Macaca fascicularis: one gene and its partners. The protein of the gene in region 2 purifies or fractionates together with the protein of the main gene of each other region. This does not show direct contact. Links are inferred from orthologs where the notes say so. Each region holds a gene or a part of one and is shown on either strand. Other genes may lie near its edges.

Region 1 (5,139 bases), on a different chromosome or scaffold from region 2:
CCTGACCAACATGGAGAAACCCCATCTCTACTAAAAATACAAAATGAGCCAGGTGTGGTGGTGCATGCCTGTAATCTCAGCTACTCGGGAGGCTGAGGCAGGAGAATCGCTTGAACCCAGAGGCAGAGACTGCAGTGAGCCGAGATCACACCACTGCACTTCAACCTGGGCAACAAGAGCAAAGCTCCATCTCAAAAAAAAAAAAAAAAAAAAGGCAACAATGCTTTAGATTGATCACTAGGTACTACATAACCCTGTAACACAAAGACTACATAATTCTTTAAGCAGTAAAAATTGAAAGGCAAATTTCTTAAATTTTAAATAAGCCCAATGAAATCTTAAGACATTAAGCTCTAATATTCAATAAATCCATAAGATGTTTTACTTACTGCTGGCTGTACTTCCTCCACTCTGATTATCTGAAGAGTTCAGGTCTAGGCCAGCAAACTAGAAGAGAGTGAGATGATTAGCACCCCATGTGCTCAAATACTGTATTAAGAGAAAACTAGTCGCGCCCTCTAGCATTTGCTAGCACTGCATTCAAGTAGTTGGCCAGTCCACCTCACAGGGCTGATACCAACTCTTAATGAGAAAGTGACTAAGAATGCTTTCAAATCTGTAACGCTCTAGGCAAATGCAAAATATTACTATTGTATATACTACAGAAGGCGGTACACCAAGATGCTTGTGCTATTCAGTAGAAACTGTCCAAATTTCATTCATTCATTCAAAACGAATTTTCACTGCAACATGTTCCATAGCACAGGCTCCCTAATCACCAAACTAAAGCTTACACTGAACCTCAAAATTATTCTTCAATGTCAAATAGATAAGGGATTCGTTTTAGTGCCAGTCATAAACATTTCCAACGCCAACTTTCTGTAGTACCTGGTATTTTAAACCTAAAAAGCACACCTGAAAAATGTCAGGACAAATTTTGAATTGGCCGTTCTTTAGTTCCTTCATCCCCAAATATTGCCTACGTATTTTTAGTCGGGTAGTACTCTTAAGAACAACAAAAAAAAGCAATATACCAACCACTTACACAAAACACTATGTTAAGCACAACTCTGAGGTAGTTTGACTGTTAATTCGTTTGGTTTTTTTTTTGAGACAGAGTCTCCCTCTGTCACCCAGGCTGGAATTCAGTGGTGTGATCTCGGCTCACTGCAATCTCCGCCTCCCCGAGTAGCTGGTATTACAGGGGTGCGCCACCACGCTAGGCTTTTTGTATTTTTAGTAGAGACGGGGTTTCGCCATGTTGGCCAGGCTGGCCTCCTGACCTCAGGTCAGGTGATCCACCTGCCTTGGCCTCCCAAAGCGCTGGGATTACAAGCATGAGCCCGGCTTGAAGTAGTTACCTGTTTATTACCCCATTGTAACAGAAGTTCAAAAATGACTTTGAATAAATGGTACAACTGGCATTCAATGCTCTTAGGGAGTAGGACGTTTTAGTGCCTTTCATCTATATTTCTACCCATCTCCCTTACACTGGTATCTCAAAAGCCTCAACATTCTTGAAAAGGGTTATATGCTACCTTCGTAACGTTGTATAACTAACCAGGAACTACTCACAAGTAGTTGGTGGAAAAAACTGTACATGCAAAGTGTTTCATTTTTCTCAAAAAAGCCACAAAAGACCAAGTTACACAGTACCGTTGCCAACCTGTTTGCAAAAGATACACTATATACCATGTTTATAAATCTTGTGTTTAAAGCTCAGTATGATACTGCCAAACTGCAGGCATCATCAATGGAGTCACTGAAAACTGGAAGCAGATGCTGAGTGTAAGACTTCAGGCACCTAATTTCCAGAATTTCTATGAGAAAAAACACCACCGCGCTTTCTCTTGCTACCGTTAATACTTTAAAGCACGGCAGAACCACAAACTTTCCTTTTGCACTTGTTATAGTACAATTTTGCTTTTTAAATAAGGTTCACTGCTGCCTAGAATCCTTAAAAGGACACTGTAGCTAAATGGAAAATGGTAAAACTGGGAATACTCTGTGCTGCTGGTAGATTGTTAAAATGTCTGTGTTCAATTCAACATATGAAGTGTCAACAATTAGAGGATTTAATATAATTGGTTCATTAACAGGGAGAAAATGCTCCCAAAGGAACAGATCAATTCCTAAAAAATATTACATATGACTACATTAAAATACGTATTCAATTAATTTGTGCCACTAAACTTAGTCCCAGGATTATTCCGGAGTTTGTGAAATCAACTCCTAATCAGAAGTGTATTTAAAGGCTCCGCATAACCCACACAAGAGCTTATCTGAAACGTGGTGCCACTGTTGCGGCGGGATGCAGTCTTCCTGCCACCAAAACCCAAAACCTTCTCTCAGATCACACGTCCTCCTCTCCTCTGCCCCTAAATCCTTAGAAGAGGAGATTCTGTCTAAAAGACTGGGGGGGCCTCGGACCCATCGCGAGATTCTACTCCACAGGCAGCAACAAGTCAACAACAAAACTGTTTACTTCCCCCAAAAGCCGGGTGTTTTTCCAAAGGCGGATTCCTGGATCAAAGTCACTAACATGAAGACACTCCCACAACCCGCGATGACCCCTCCACTCCAGAAAAACGCGGGGCTCCCGGCTAACTCGCCACACAGGGACAACCTGGGCCAAGCAAGGAGGAGAAAGGGCCTCGCTGGCTAACCTCCCCGCCGCGTCTAACCTCTATCTTCAGAGCCCAGCGGCCCATTCCTGCCTCCCCTCCCCGCCCCCACTCCTCCCCAATCTTCTGCGTCACAAAACTTTCCACTCCGGAAACGCAGCCTCCCCGGCCGCGGCGCCGGGCCTGCGGACCCTGCGGAACCTGGGCTGAAGCGAAAAGGCCTGCGGAAGGAACCCGGGAAAAACAAGACGCCCATTCCATCCTCCTTTCCAGGCCCTCGCCCGCCCGGGACCCGCCGTCTCCCGGGAGTGAGCCACAGCGCCTCCCAGCACCACACAAAAGAGACCGCCGCCATTACCCCAAGCGAAGGCCACCCCCTCCCCGCCGCGCCGCCCCCTCCCACATTCCTGGGCCGCGTTCCACCCCTTGCTCGCAGGCACGCAAACACCGAATGCCGCCGGGTCCTCCAGACGGTAATCCAGGCTGCGCCAGCCGTGAAGGCCGAAACCCTCCAGGCCAAAAGGGTCTCCAGTCGCGTCCCGCCGCGCTGCGCACTCCCGCAAACCACCCCCCCGGTCACTAATCAGTCGGGGTTCGCGCATGCGCGTCCCCGCGAGAGCACGCGCACTCCCTCCCCCCTCCGCCCGCCTGCGCACGCACACACAAAAGCCGCCATTGTGCTCGTCCCGGGGACAATACAGCGGGCCGAGACCGGGCCCGGGCGACAGCCCCAACCAACGTTCCTGTCCCTCCATAGCCCCGGGGCACCCAGGAAATGAAAAGTAAGGGTCCCGGTTAGCGCTGCGCCATTAGCCAGGTTAGGTCAGAGGAGGGATTCACGCAGCAGCCAGCCCAGTGGGGTCCTTGCGGCTCACCTGCTGGTCCAGCCCGAGCGCATTTTCCACCGCCACATGACTCATCCCTGAAGAGTACCGAGAACTCGGAGTCTTCCGCTGCTAAGCGAGTGTGTCTGTTCCACCGCGAAGGCCCTCTCACGGGAGAACTGCGGCTCTGGAGCGCACCGCGCGGCCACGGATCTAATATACCCGCTTGAAAGCCCGCTACGTCAGCACGTACAACGTGTGCCCTCCCTCTCACACTGCAATCCCCTGTCGCGGCGACTAATGCCCGGCTACTGCGCGCTCCCTCAGGTCTAACCTCACGGGATTTCCTACTTAGTCCCGTCGCCCCTAGCAGTCCTGTCTTGGAGCTTGGAGCGCCAAATGCTGTCCCAGTTCTCCCGAGCTACACTTCCCGTGCTCTCCGCTAAAACCGTAGTCTCAGCCTCGGAGGTCTCGAGATCTCGCGAGAACTTGCGTTTCCCGTTTACCACCAGCTAAAAGGCCTGGAAATGTTAACCTAGGCCTCTTCGCTCCCCTTTCCAACCCTATGCACTCAGCTTTAGTTTTTCGGGGTTTTTTTCTTGGGTTTTTTTTGTTTTTCTTTTTTTTTTTTTTTCCAACACTGGCCTTCACTCTTCTTCCTTTCTCAGTTCCCGGGCTTGGAGATGTGGTGGGATTTCTCCGGTCTAATCTGCCCTCGGTCTTCCGCATGTAGCCTCCCCGAAGTCGGAGCTAGGCAGACAGTCCCGAAACCGAGAGGGCGGCAGGCCACGTGACCGCAGGTGTCGCGTGCGGTGGCCATTTTGTGAAGCAGGAAACGGTGGCTTGAATATAGAGTGCTCGGGACGGGGGGGCGGGGAAGAGGAGGAGAGAACAGAGGGAAGGGGAGGAGGGGGAGGAAAAAGAGGGGAGCGGAGGAAGGGGAAAGGAGGAGGGAGGAGGGTAGGATGGTGACGGGGCGGGAGTCGGGGGGAAATGGAGGGGAGCCGGCGGCGCGCTGGTGGCCCGACACCTCCCTGCGCTGTTGCCTAGGCAGCGGGGGCGCCGCCTAGAAACACACAATGGCCCCTCCCGGCCAACCCCCCGACGTGTGCGCGCGCGCCCCCACCCCCCGCGGTGAGGGAACAATGAGACAGTCACGCGCTGATCCAGAGCCGCCGCTGGCGCGCCCTCCCGGGACCCCTGCCCTCCGCAGGAATGCGGGCTACATTTGCCCCTAGCTGCTTCTCGCTGGGCACCCAGCTGCTTAGGGCAGGTGAACACCGGCGTTGCGGGGAGCCTGCGGGTGGCGAACGGCTCTTCTAGGGCCCAAGGGTGTCGGGAATGTTTGTGGTCGGTGCAACCTGGGCCTGCAGGAGGGGCTGCAGCGGGGTTACCGGCCTGGGCTCGGGGTGACCCTCAGGCCGCTGCGGTGTATGAGGAACGGCAGGAACCAGGTTTCTGCCGTCGGAGGAACCTCTTCCCGTGGCCCCCTCCCAGGCAGGCCACCCCAAGTCCTGGCTTCGGTGCCGCAGGCCCTTAAATACAAGAAGATGTGTTTACTAGTGGATTCCCGGCTTTGAGCCGGCACACGCACATCCGTGGTTTCTTACGACCGCTTTCCCCTCTCCCTTCTGACCCTCAGCCCGACGGAATTAAATAAAACGCAGTGGTTTCCACCACCCTCCAAAGGG
Region 2 (5,168 bases):
TTTTCAAGTTTACAGAATACCATACTACAACAATTTACCACTATAAATATGTCTTAATACCTGTTTATTCCATTCTATTTAGATTGCAACACTAACAAAATTCTTAATGCATTATGTTCCCACCACCTGTACTTTCCCTACACTATCATTTTGACACTTACATAAAAACAACTCAATTCAGCAACCAAGTTTTACAACCACTGTTGCTACCAATCAAATGGTGATGCATCAGATCCCAATTCTCATGAGTATTAACATATTAAGAGAGTACATTATTTACCTAAGACTGAAGGACTGTGCCTTACTTTATAAAAAACAAAGATAGCCACATCAATTTAATTCCATATATATACTACCTATTCAATTTATTAAAAATTGTAATAAACATAATAATCAAACTAGTGCTCCAAACTTATGCTGTTCACATGGAAGACACCACAAAAGAAGACATAATATAGAGACTGCCTTGCAATAAGAAGTACAAATTCCTTCTATAAAGATGGAGAAATAAAAGGACAAATCTAGTTGTCTAAAAGACAATTCACTGTACACATTTTATTTACAGTTTTGTACACTGTCTTAATATGAATGGGACTGCTTTTCTACTTGAGCCATTTTTAACCAAAGCAAAATAACCTAAGTAATACAAAGTGTTAAAATACAGCATAAAGATACAAAAACAGACATACTAATTCTAGTTAGGAATGTAATTATGATGTTACATTTTTTATAATCCACAATTATGTTTAGGAAATCACACAAACATAGATCACTGATTTGAATGAAATGCATAAATTTGTAGCAAAGCTTTGTAGTTACAAAAAACAAAAAAAATTACCAAAGAATGCACAAAATTAATGTTTATTCCACCTTTGTGTCATATTCCTGAATCCTTCACCAATGTTACATGAGGAAAAAAACAAAAGCAAAACAAATGAAAAACTGAAATCAGAATCACTAATATTATCAAGTAGGGAAACAAATAAATTAAAATCTAGCAGCCATCAGCAAGAGTACAGCAAAGACAATGCTGTAAAAAGAAACAAAGAAAATTGCTAGAAAACTGTATGCATCATAATCTTTCAAACCAGCAAAATATGCTCCTGCATACAATGGAACAACAGAATTTTCTTTCCTGTAAAGTACAGTAATGCCAAGATGTCTTTTGACTATTGTGGATAGGTAGTACAGCAAAGACAATGCTGTAAAAACAAAGAAAATTGCCAGAAAACTGTATGCATCATAATCTTTCAAACCAGCAAATATGCTCCTGCATACAATGGAACAACAGAATTTTCTTTCCTGTAAAGTATAGTAATGCCAAGTTGTTTTTTGACTATTGTGGATAGGTAAAATCTGTATGTAATTAATGGTAATTCTACTGAAGTATTACAGAGTGGGCCAGGAACATATTTATGGATTCTGGGGATGTGTACTGTAATTCTTTGATTGGGATAGTGGAAACTTTAGCCAAAAAAAAAAAAAAAAAAAAAAAAGTGAACACAGAAGTACAAGACAAAGGCGAATGAGACTTCTCTTATATCTTAGTAACGTTTAGATGGAAATCAAATTTAAATGCAGTCCACTCTGCTTTTTGAAGAGGCTTTGGTTCAGCTCCCAAATCTCGATTGCTTGACGCAGTCTCCTATGAGAATACTCAGAAGGTGTCTTCTTAAACAACAAACCTATTTTTAGTGGTGGAGCCGCTCTTAGTAGCTGTGTCTGCGTGGGACTGATAACCAATCACTATCTTTGGAGGAAGTCCTAACCTTTCCTTGTATACCCTCCTAGAAGAAAAAAAAGAAGAAAAAAGTAGCCATTAATTTTTACTCATAAGAAGTAAATAAATTCAAAATTTTAGGGTTACTAGTCTTTGTATTAAAAAATATAGATGAGAGTACAATAGGAAATTATACACCCTTTTCCTTTTAGCATAATTTACTTTTCATTTTTGCGATATTCTTGGATAATTACTTTTAAAATATTGAGAGCCAGTCGGGTTTATTATTACTAAATTACAGGAGCATTACTATATTATTATACTGTTATTTATTATGATACTATAATTATTACTAAATCAATAGTGAACAAAGCAAGGACAGTCCCTGAGCTCACTGTATTTATAGTCTAGTAAACACAAAATCACAAATACATATGATGGACCTGTATTACATGCATACTTAAAACAGAAATCTGTATAACAAACATGTTTATTTTCATTCTTTGATCTAAAATGCTACATTTCACGTCTGAACCCTAGCAAATATTGTATATTACTACACAAATTATATTTACCATACCTGTTATAAGATTGCACAAACAAAAACTAAACACTTTGAGGGAGATTAAAATGAAACACTTCAAGGGAGAAAGTAATTTCTGCTTTACATACTAACTTTACAACCTAATTTTCAAGTAAGACATGACTCTACAGCAAGAATAAAATGGCACTTGTCATGAGTGCCAAAGAGTAAATACAAGGGCTGTAATAACAAGGAGATTCTAATCTCATCTACAAAATTAGAGAAGTCTTCCCCTTTAAATATCACAAGGTCAAAAGGATAATGTTAAGATAATGAGCACATCTGAAAGCTGAGAAATAAAAATCAGGCTGTGTGACTATGGCTTGTAAGTAAAGTGAATATGAGATAAAGCTGACAAGGTTTCAAAGAAAGATCACAGAAAACTTCATAAGTCACCTTAAAAATCTGAATCTTTAAGAAAAAATAGTAAAAATTGAAAAATAAGCAAAATCAAATAAAAATAAAGGAATAAACATATTAATGGAGTTAAATCCTCCAACACGATACTAGGATAGTTTTTTTTAATACCTTCCAGGAGATTTACTACCTTCCCCCTAAAATAAGGCATTAAAAAGTAATTTTATGGTAACTAAAGTGATAATTATCAAATTTGCATTATAATACATGCATTCCTTTCAATTATACTTAATTATTAAAAATACCAAAAGCCATGACCATTGAGTCATGCAAATTGGAACGGTTAAAAAAAGAAAATCTTTGTTTGAAAATCTGAAGTCTTAATATAGACTCAAAAACATTTAATAGTGACAAAAATAAAAAACTTCCATAGGAAAAAAATTCTTAATTAATCTAACTCTTGTTTTTTAAAAAAAAAAAAGTAAGTCCTCCAAAATTAGGTTTTGATGCTGGCAGAAACATTAAAATAAGATGACAAATCAACTCCTTTCTCTTATGGAACCCCATATAGCATGAAATGTAGAAAATCCCTATACCTTTTGACCCAGAAATAAATTATGTTCACAGAGAAATTTACATGGCTGAGAGCAGTGGATCACACCTGAAATCCCAGCACTTTGGAAGGCTGAGGCAGGTGGATCACTTGAGCACAAGAGTTTGACACCAGTCTGGCCAACATGGCGAAACCCTGTCTCCACAAAAACTACTGTAGTGGCTCAGGCTTCTGGTCCCAGCTATTCAGGAGGCTGAGGCAAGAGAATCACTTGAACCCAAGAGGTGGAGGTTGCAGTGAGCCGAGATCACGATACTGCACCCTGGCCTGGGCAACGGAGTGTGACTCTGTCTCAAAAATTAATTTTAAAAAGAAAAATTAATAATATTTGAAAAATCACAAAGGGACAAACCAAACATTTTGTGACCACTGACTGACCAGCACTTAATTTTAACATATTTTTTTTTTTTTTTTTTTTGGTGAGACGGTGTCTCACTCTGTCTCCCAGGCTGGAATGCAGTGGCCCAATCTTGGCTCACTGCAAGCTCCGCCTCCCAGGTTCACGCCATTCTCCTGCCTCAGCCTCCCGAGTAGCTGGGACTACAGGCACCCGCCACCATGCCCAGCTAATGTTTTTTTTTTTGTATTTTCAGTAGAGACGGGGTTTCACCGTATTAGCCAGGATGGTCTCGATCTCCCGATCTCGTGATCTGCCTGCCTTGGCCTCCCAAAGTGCTGGGATTACAGGTATGAGCCACCGCGCCCAGCGTCAAATATTACTAATATAATTGAGGTAAAAAGAAATCCTAGTTAGAAATGCCAGCTGGTTTAGCATGGTGGCTCATGCCTGTAATCTCAGCACTTTGAAAGGCTGAGGTGGTTTGATCAAGTCCAGGAGTTCACAACCAGTCTCGGCAACATGGCAAAACCTCTTCTCTACAAAAAATACAAGAGAATAGCCAGGTGTGGTTGTACACACCTGAGTTCCAGCTAATTGGGTGGCTGAGGTGGGAGGATCACCTGAGCCCAGGAGGTTGAGGCTGCAGTGAGCCGTGACTGCACCACTGCACTCTTGCCTAAATAACACAGTGAGACCCTGCTTCAAAAAAAAAAAAAAAAAAAAAAGCCATTTTTGCAAAGAATAAAATTTACAAAAAAAGGTTTAATAAAACCCTACATGTGGGTTTTAAACATCGAACAAAAGCCAAAGTATGTTAAATTTTAATGAAAATTATATGTAGTAAACACACATGCTTTAAATACACATACACTATTTGCCAATAATCACTGAATTATTTATTATGAGCATACATTAGCTCTTTTCAAAGTAGTACTTTTTTTCAAACAGCACTTTCAAAGTAGGAAATAATACATTCTCATTTGTGAATGAATAAAAAATGCTACATGCCAAAGCAGAGTGTTCTAGTGGTTATATACTTCACTGCTAAGAAAAAGCAATTTTACAGAAATAAAAAACATGAACAAGGTCAGGCGCAATGGCCCATGCCTGTAATGCCAGCACTTTGGGAGGCCGAGGTGGATGGATCACTTGAGGCCAAGAGTTAAAAGACCAGCCTGGCCAACATGGCAAAACCTGGTCTCTACTAAAAATACAAAAATTACCTGAGCATGGTGGCACACGCCTGTATTCTCAGCTACTTGGGAGGCTGAGACATAAGAATCACTTGAACCCGGGAGTCAGCGGTTGCAGTGAGCCTAGATCATGCCACTGTACTACACCCTGGACAACAGAGTGAGACTGTGTCTCTAAATATATAAATAGCTGTGAAAAAACCCTCCAAAACATCTATATCGATATCTATATAGATATAGATATATATGAACAAGACGTTGTGCACCAATTGAGCCGTTCAAAATTATAAAAGTGTTCCGAAAACAATACAAGGAAAACAGGATCTACAAACAAAGTATTTCTAAAGCTACAAATAAAGTAA
Region 3 (5,068 bases), on a different chromosome or scaffold from region 2:
TTATCACACTGCACATCCATGCAATGGCCACTGAACTCAACTGAGCTTCCAAGTATACGTATTACCAGAAGCTAATCTCTAAGAACTATACTTAGAAAAGAGCAGGAAACCACATAACTGACAAACATCAGGAGTGAAGAAGAAAGAAGACCAAGAAACTGGGATTAGTTTCCATTACCTGGCTTAGTATCTGTCACCCCTTCCATGAGGACCAATCCTACTGGTCGCTGACAAGCGATGCCGCAGAAGCGGAAACGTAGCAGGAAGTCTCGACCATACTTGCGTCTCTCTGTAAACCAGGAAAAGCCATATAGTGAAAGAAGATGAAGCAACATGCTGAGACCTCCTTAGTACCAAGCAACTTCCAGCATAGATCCACAGAGGAAGGATTCAGAAGACAAGGAGATTTTCCAATGGCTGTGATTTAAAGTTGTCCATTTTATTGGACGGCCATTGGGAGGACAGTGAGAAAACAGAAGAATATGCTAAGAGAAATGAGGGATTACACTTTTTCTTGTCATTGAGACACCAGCTTTCTCCCAAAATGGACACGAAGACACAGCCAACCAAGAATGTGACGTGTGCTCACCTGATCTCTTGGGGTGACAGGAGGAGACATACTGACAGCAATCAGTGATGCCCAGGGAGCTGGGCCACAGGGGGGCCTGCAGCTTCCTCTGGTAAAGCTGATGAGAGAAGTCTTCCTGTCCAGATACCTGCAAGGAAAGAGCAGGGTGGGAATAAGGAAACCAAGATAGAAAAAGGAAATAACAGCCCATGTTTTGGGACATGTGGACAAATACAAACACACACAATCACACACTACATACATGGTATAAGCAAGCATGTAAGTCTCAGGGGCAGGTTAAAAATAAGGACCAAATTAAAACCATTACTTTTTCACTGGCAACACTGAAATGTCCATGAAACAGGAGGAGGATAAGAGACTGAATCAAGGGGAATCGAATAGTATGAACATGTGGTTCTCTAAATTTTACCTCCAAAAAATCAATACAATTCTCCTCCACAGGGAATATCAACTCTCAGGGGCTTTAAGTTGCAATGGTTAAAGGTTTATCCTCATCTTTGGATCTTCTGGATCAAGGTCTAATATCCTGAACCTATTACTGGGAAACCACAGGGTCAAACCAAATGGGAAAGCACCAAAGCACTTTACCGTATCTACGTCACCATCCTCGGTCAAAGCCAATGAGCAGCCTGGGAACGGACAAAACGTAGTAGGGGAAACATTCGGCAACATCAGTCATCTGCACATCTCCAACGTGTGTAGCAAGTCCCTTTATGCCATTTAACAACAACAAATATTTGAAAGCCAAAAGACACTAGCTAAGTGCTGGGGATAGAGTAGTGATAGACAGAATCCCCCTGCCCTATAAGGGCATAAATTTTCAATATGTCATCTGAAGTAAAACAGATCTGCAATTCAATGGCCACTTAATAGCTGTGTGACTTTGGGCAAGTTAGCTAACTCTCTTGGGTTCAATATCTCCTACTATAAAACGGGATAGGCCAGAAGCAGTGGCTCATGCCTGTAATCCCAGCACTTCAGGAGGCCAAGGTAGGTGGATCACCTGAGTTCAGGAGTTCAAGACCAGCCTGGCCAACATGGTAAAACCCCGTCTCTACTAAAAATACAAAAATTAGCCAAGCATGGTGGCACACTCCTGTAATCCCAGCTACTCAGGAGGCTGAGGCAGGAGAATCACATGAACCCAGGAGGCGGAGGTTGCAGTGAGCCAAGATCATGCCATTGCACTCCAGCCTGGGCAACAGAGCAAGACTCTGTCTCAAAATATAAATAAATAAAAAAATAAAATGGGATAATAATACCATGTACAGTTAAGAATCTTAATATCACTACCAGTTACTGACTTTGAACCAGATACTGGAAAACACTTTACACGCATTATTTTATTTAATTCACCCAAAAAAACACCTCTGAGGCAGGTCCCATTATATCCCCCATTGTATAGATGAGGCAAATTGGGTTTAAGAAAGTTAAGTAATTTGCTCAAGGTGGCAGAGCAGGGATCTGAATTCAGGACTGTCTGGCTTCAAAGCAAGTGCTCTCATTCACTATGCCTAACAGTGCCTGTCATGTGGCAGGCAGTCCGTTCTTTTCCTCGTTCCCTGAGCTCCTTGATTACAGCTCCTTTAGGGCAAGATCATGCCTTTCTCTGCACACATCTGGCTCATTTACATAAAATCCCATGTGCGCAACAGTAATTCAATCGTTTTGTGTCCTTCCACCATCGTGCCTTGCCAAAAGTTAGTCAATAAATTGAAACAGCAGGGGCAAAATAGAGGAACAAGGAGATTAAGTGACATAAAGAAATCAGCACAAGCTGATAAAACTATGAGGTGTCTGTCATCAACACTCAACAGTTAGAAGGAATGAGATCCATATGCAAATTGCTGAGTGGAAAAAAACAAGCTACAAATGAAACATATAGTAGTGTATCATGTTTATAAAACACACATGGCAGATTGCATATTGGCTGTTATAAGCAATCACAGCACAGTATTTGAGGGTAAGAGCTCTGCAGCCAGACCACCTGGTTACAAATCCTGGCTCCACCACTAACTACCCACATAACCTATGGCAAATTACTTCACTTTTCTGGGCTTTAGTTTCCTCATTTATAAAATGAAAGCCATGATGGAAATTGTGAAAACTAATGAGTTAATGAGTATAAAGTGCTCAAAATAGCACATGGCACAGAGTTAAGTGCTTAACAAATGTAAACACCGATTACAATATCATAGGAACATAGATACCACTGTAAATGCAAAGAAAACAAGCTAAAAGACTACCACCAAACTTAGAACGGTCATTATGTGACTCTAAGAGAATAGAAAGGGAATGTGGGTAATAAAACAGGCCTGTGCCTTACTGTATAATGCTTAAGTTCCTCCAAGTACATACTCACGTACTACTTGTGAATTAAAAATATTAATGATAAAAACTGAAAAAAATCCCAACATGCCAAAGTACTCAAGAATTCTTAACTTCCAGGCTTGGGTACAAGCTATTCAACATAACAAGAAAAAGGAGGAACAGGCCAGAGCAGGTGTACTGAGGTCCCTGCCACAGAAGCAGCACTGATGCTCACAGCTGAATCTCTCTCTAGACCATGTTCCCACCCCCACTGTGGCCTCTCCCATTTCACCTTCCAGGCTGGCATCCCATGGTACTGGAGCTCTCCATCCCTGATGAAGTTGTAGAGAGGTGAATCAGGGACAGAATTTAGGTCCCCGCACAAGATGATGGGGCAGTGGCTGCCATCTGACAATCTGGCCACCTTGTCCACTTCTGCCAGGAGAATGGCCATCTGGGCCAGCTTGACATCACCCCGGCGTGGGTTGTAAAGGATATGGGTATTTGCCACACACAGCGGGGCCACCGAGACTTGCCCCAGGCCTTCTGGGACGAGTGGTTGCAGTAGCAACACTAAGCCCACATTATCCCGATTAAGTAGCTCCAAGCCAGGCCGGAAGTACTCCACAGGGCTGGCACAAAGCAGGCGGAATCTGGTGGGCTTGTAGCAAACAGCACAGCCATCGGTTTTACACCCGGTCCTCCTCTTGTAGAAACAGGTAAAGCCTGCAAGGAAAACCCCACCAAGGAGATGGGTCAGAGTCCTTAAAGCCTGAATCCCTTCCAACCAGCACCAGCAGTCCCAGTGTGTGCCCCTGAGGCATTGTTCCTGCTACTCAGTAAAGAAGCCTTTGCCACGTCCTTGGTTCAGCAGGTTCCCCCTTACAGTTGTAACTAGGTGACTGAGGGGCTGGAAGGGCAAGGAGGGAAGGGTATGAAGCAATGTAACATGATAGAAAAGAGCCCAGAATCTAGAGTCAGACAAGCTGGATTCCTAGCTCCACATCTACTAGCTTTGTGGCTTTGTGATTCTGAGGAAGTCACACGAATTTTCAGAAATTCAGTTTTCTCATCTGTAAAATGGGAATAATAACAGTCTCACCACATTGGTTACTTCAAGGATCAAATAGCAATGTATGTCAGAATTGCTTTAAAACTGCAGAATTCTACTTTCTCAGGCACACATGGAAGGAGCTAGCTCACAGGTGCAACTGAGGGTTTACCAAGACAAAAGGGAAGGATGGGGTCTTCAGGAGAGAGTAGGCAAGGCTGTAGAAAGAAAAGCTGGCAAGCATCCCAGGGAGCTGCATTACCCATCATTCGCAGAGAGGGTTCCAGCTGCTCCCAGTAATGATCTTCCTGGACTTCCTGGAGACACAGGATCTGGGAAATTGACAAGAAACCCAATCACTCTGGAGTGCTGGAATGTGACCCCCACCCTCTAGGAGCAGGTCCTGAGGCCAGGTAGGAAGCTGCTGGGTCACAGTGAAACTTCCCAGTCACCAACAGCAAGAGCAGGCCCAGACCTAAGCTGAAGAGATTAGACATGTGCACTGGATTTTCCTGCTCCTTGAATCCCTCAAGCCTCCCTTCCTGCATAAAGGTGCTGGAAAGTGCACACCTAGGGAGATTCTTCTCAGCATCTGCCAACAACTCACTGACACCAGGCAGGCAAACTCTAACCCTAGATAGGACTCCAATCATTTGAACAACTATGGGGTTGAACTCATCTTCTAAGAGCACTGGGAAACAGCCCAGGTCCAGCAACAATGCAAGATGGCAACTCCCCCCTCACTCACATCGGGGTCCCAGTGCTGGAATTCCTGCATGAGGTTCATGAAGCGATAGTTCCAATTGAGGATGTCCGGATGGCAATGTAGATAGAGCTCTGAGCTCTGCTGCATCAGGTCCTGAGCCAGGATGTTATAAGACATCAGAGTGAACTGGAACTGAGGGCCATCTCCTGGCTTCAGGCCCTGAGCATCTGGCTGGGTGGAGAAATCCTCCCATTCTCGCCACAAAATTTCTGAAAAGGGATTGGGAGAAGTATTCCATGGCAAGTACAAGTAATGCAGAGGCACCACCATCTCCTCAGGCACCATTACTCCTGACTCAGTAATATTATGCCTGAAGTTCCTTTTACCATCTGCCCTGTCACCCATCCCTCTC

What was found.
Region 1: the proteins of EIF4E (region 2) and DDX3X purify together in Homo sapiens (co-immunoprecipitation; 3 studies listed by BioGRID and IntAct, with this or other methods). This does not show direct contact. The link is inferred for Macaca fascicularis from reciprocal best matches to the Homo sapiens genes EIF4E and DDX3X.
Region 3: the proteins of EIF4E (region 2) and ANGEL1 purify together in Homo sapiens (affinity purification with mass spectrometry; 3 studies listed by BioGRID and IntAct, counting the BioPlex papers as one, with this or other methods). This does not show direct contact. The link is inferred for Macaca fascicularis from reciprocal best matches to the Homo sapiens genes EIF4E and ANGEL1.

Annotation. Positions count from the first base shown.
Region 1 is NC_088395.1:41,333,693-41,338,831, reverse strand, and holds the start of DDX3X (ATP-dependent RNA helicase DDX3X), read right to left. Parts: upstream 3,638-5,139; 5' UTR 3,545-3,637; coding exon 3,500-3,544; intron 448-3,499; coding exon 390-447; intron 1-389. UniProt on the Homo sapiens protein: Multifunctional ATP-dependent RNA helicase. The ATPase activity can be stimulated by various ribo-and deoxynucleic acids indicative for a relaxed substrate specificity.
Region 2 is NC_088379.1:104,465,038-104,470,205, forward strand, and holds the end of EIF4E (eukaryotic translation initiation factor 4E), read right to left. Parts: intron 1,788-5,168; coding exon 1,673-1,787; 3' UTR 335-1,672; downstream 1-334. UniProt on the Homo sapiens protein: Acts in the cytoplasm to initiate and regulate protein synthesis and is required in the nucleus for export of a subset of mRNAs from the nucleus to the cytoplasm which promotes processes such as RNA capping, processing and splicing.
Region 3 is NC_088381.1:144,762,026-144,767,093, forward strand, and holds part of ANGEL1 (protein angel homolog 1), read right to left. Parts: intron 4,926-5,068; coding exon 4,699-4,925; intron 4,283-4,698; coding exon 4,213-4,282; intron 3,626-4,212; coding exon 3,192-3,625; intron 1,299-3,191; coding exon of another isoform or gene 1,188-1,298; exon of another isoform or gene 1,086-1,187; intron 717-1,085; coding exon 590-716; intron 290-589; coding exon 179-289; intron 1-178.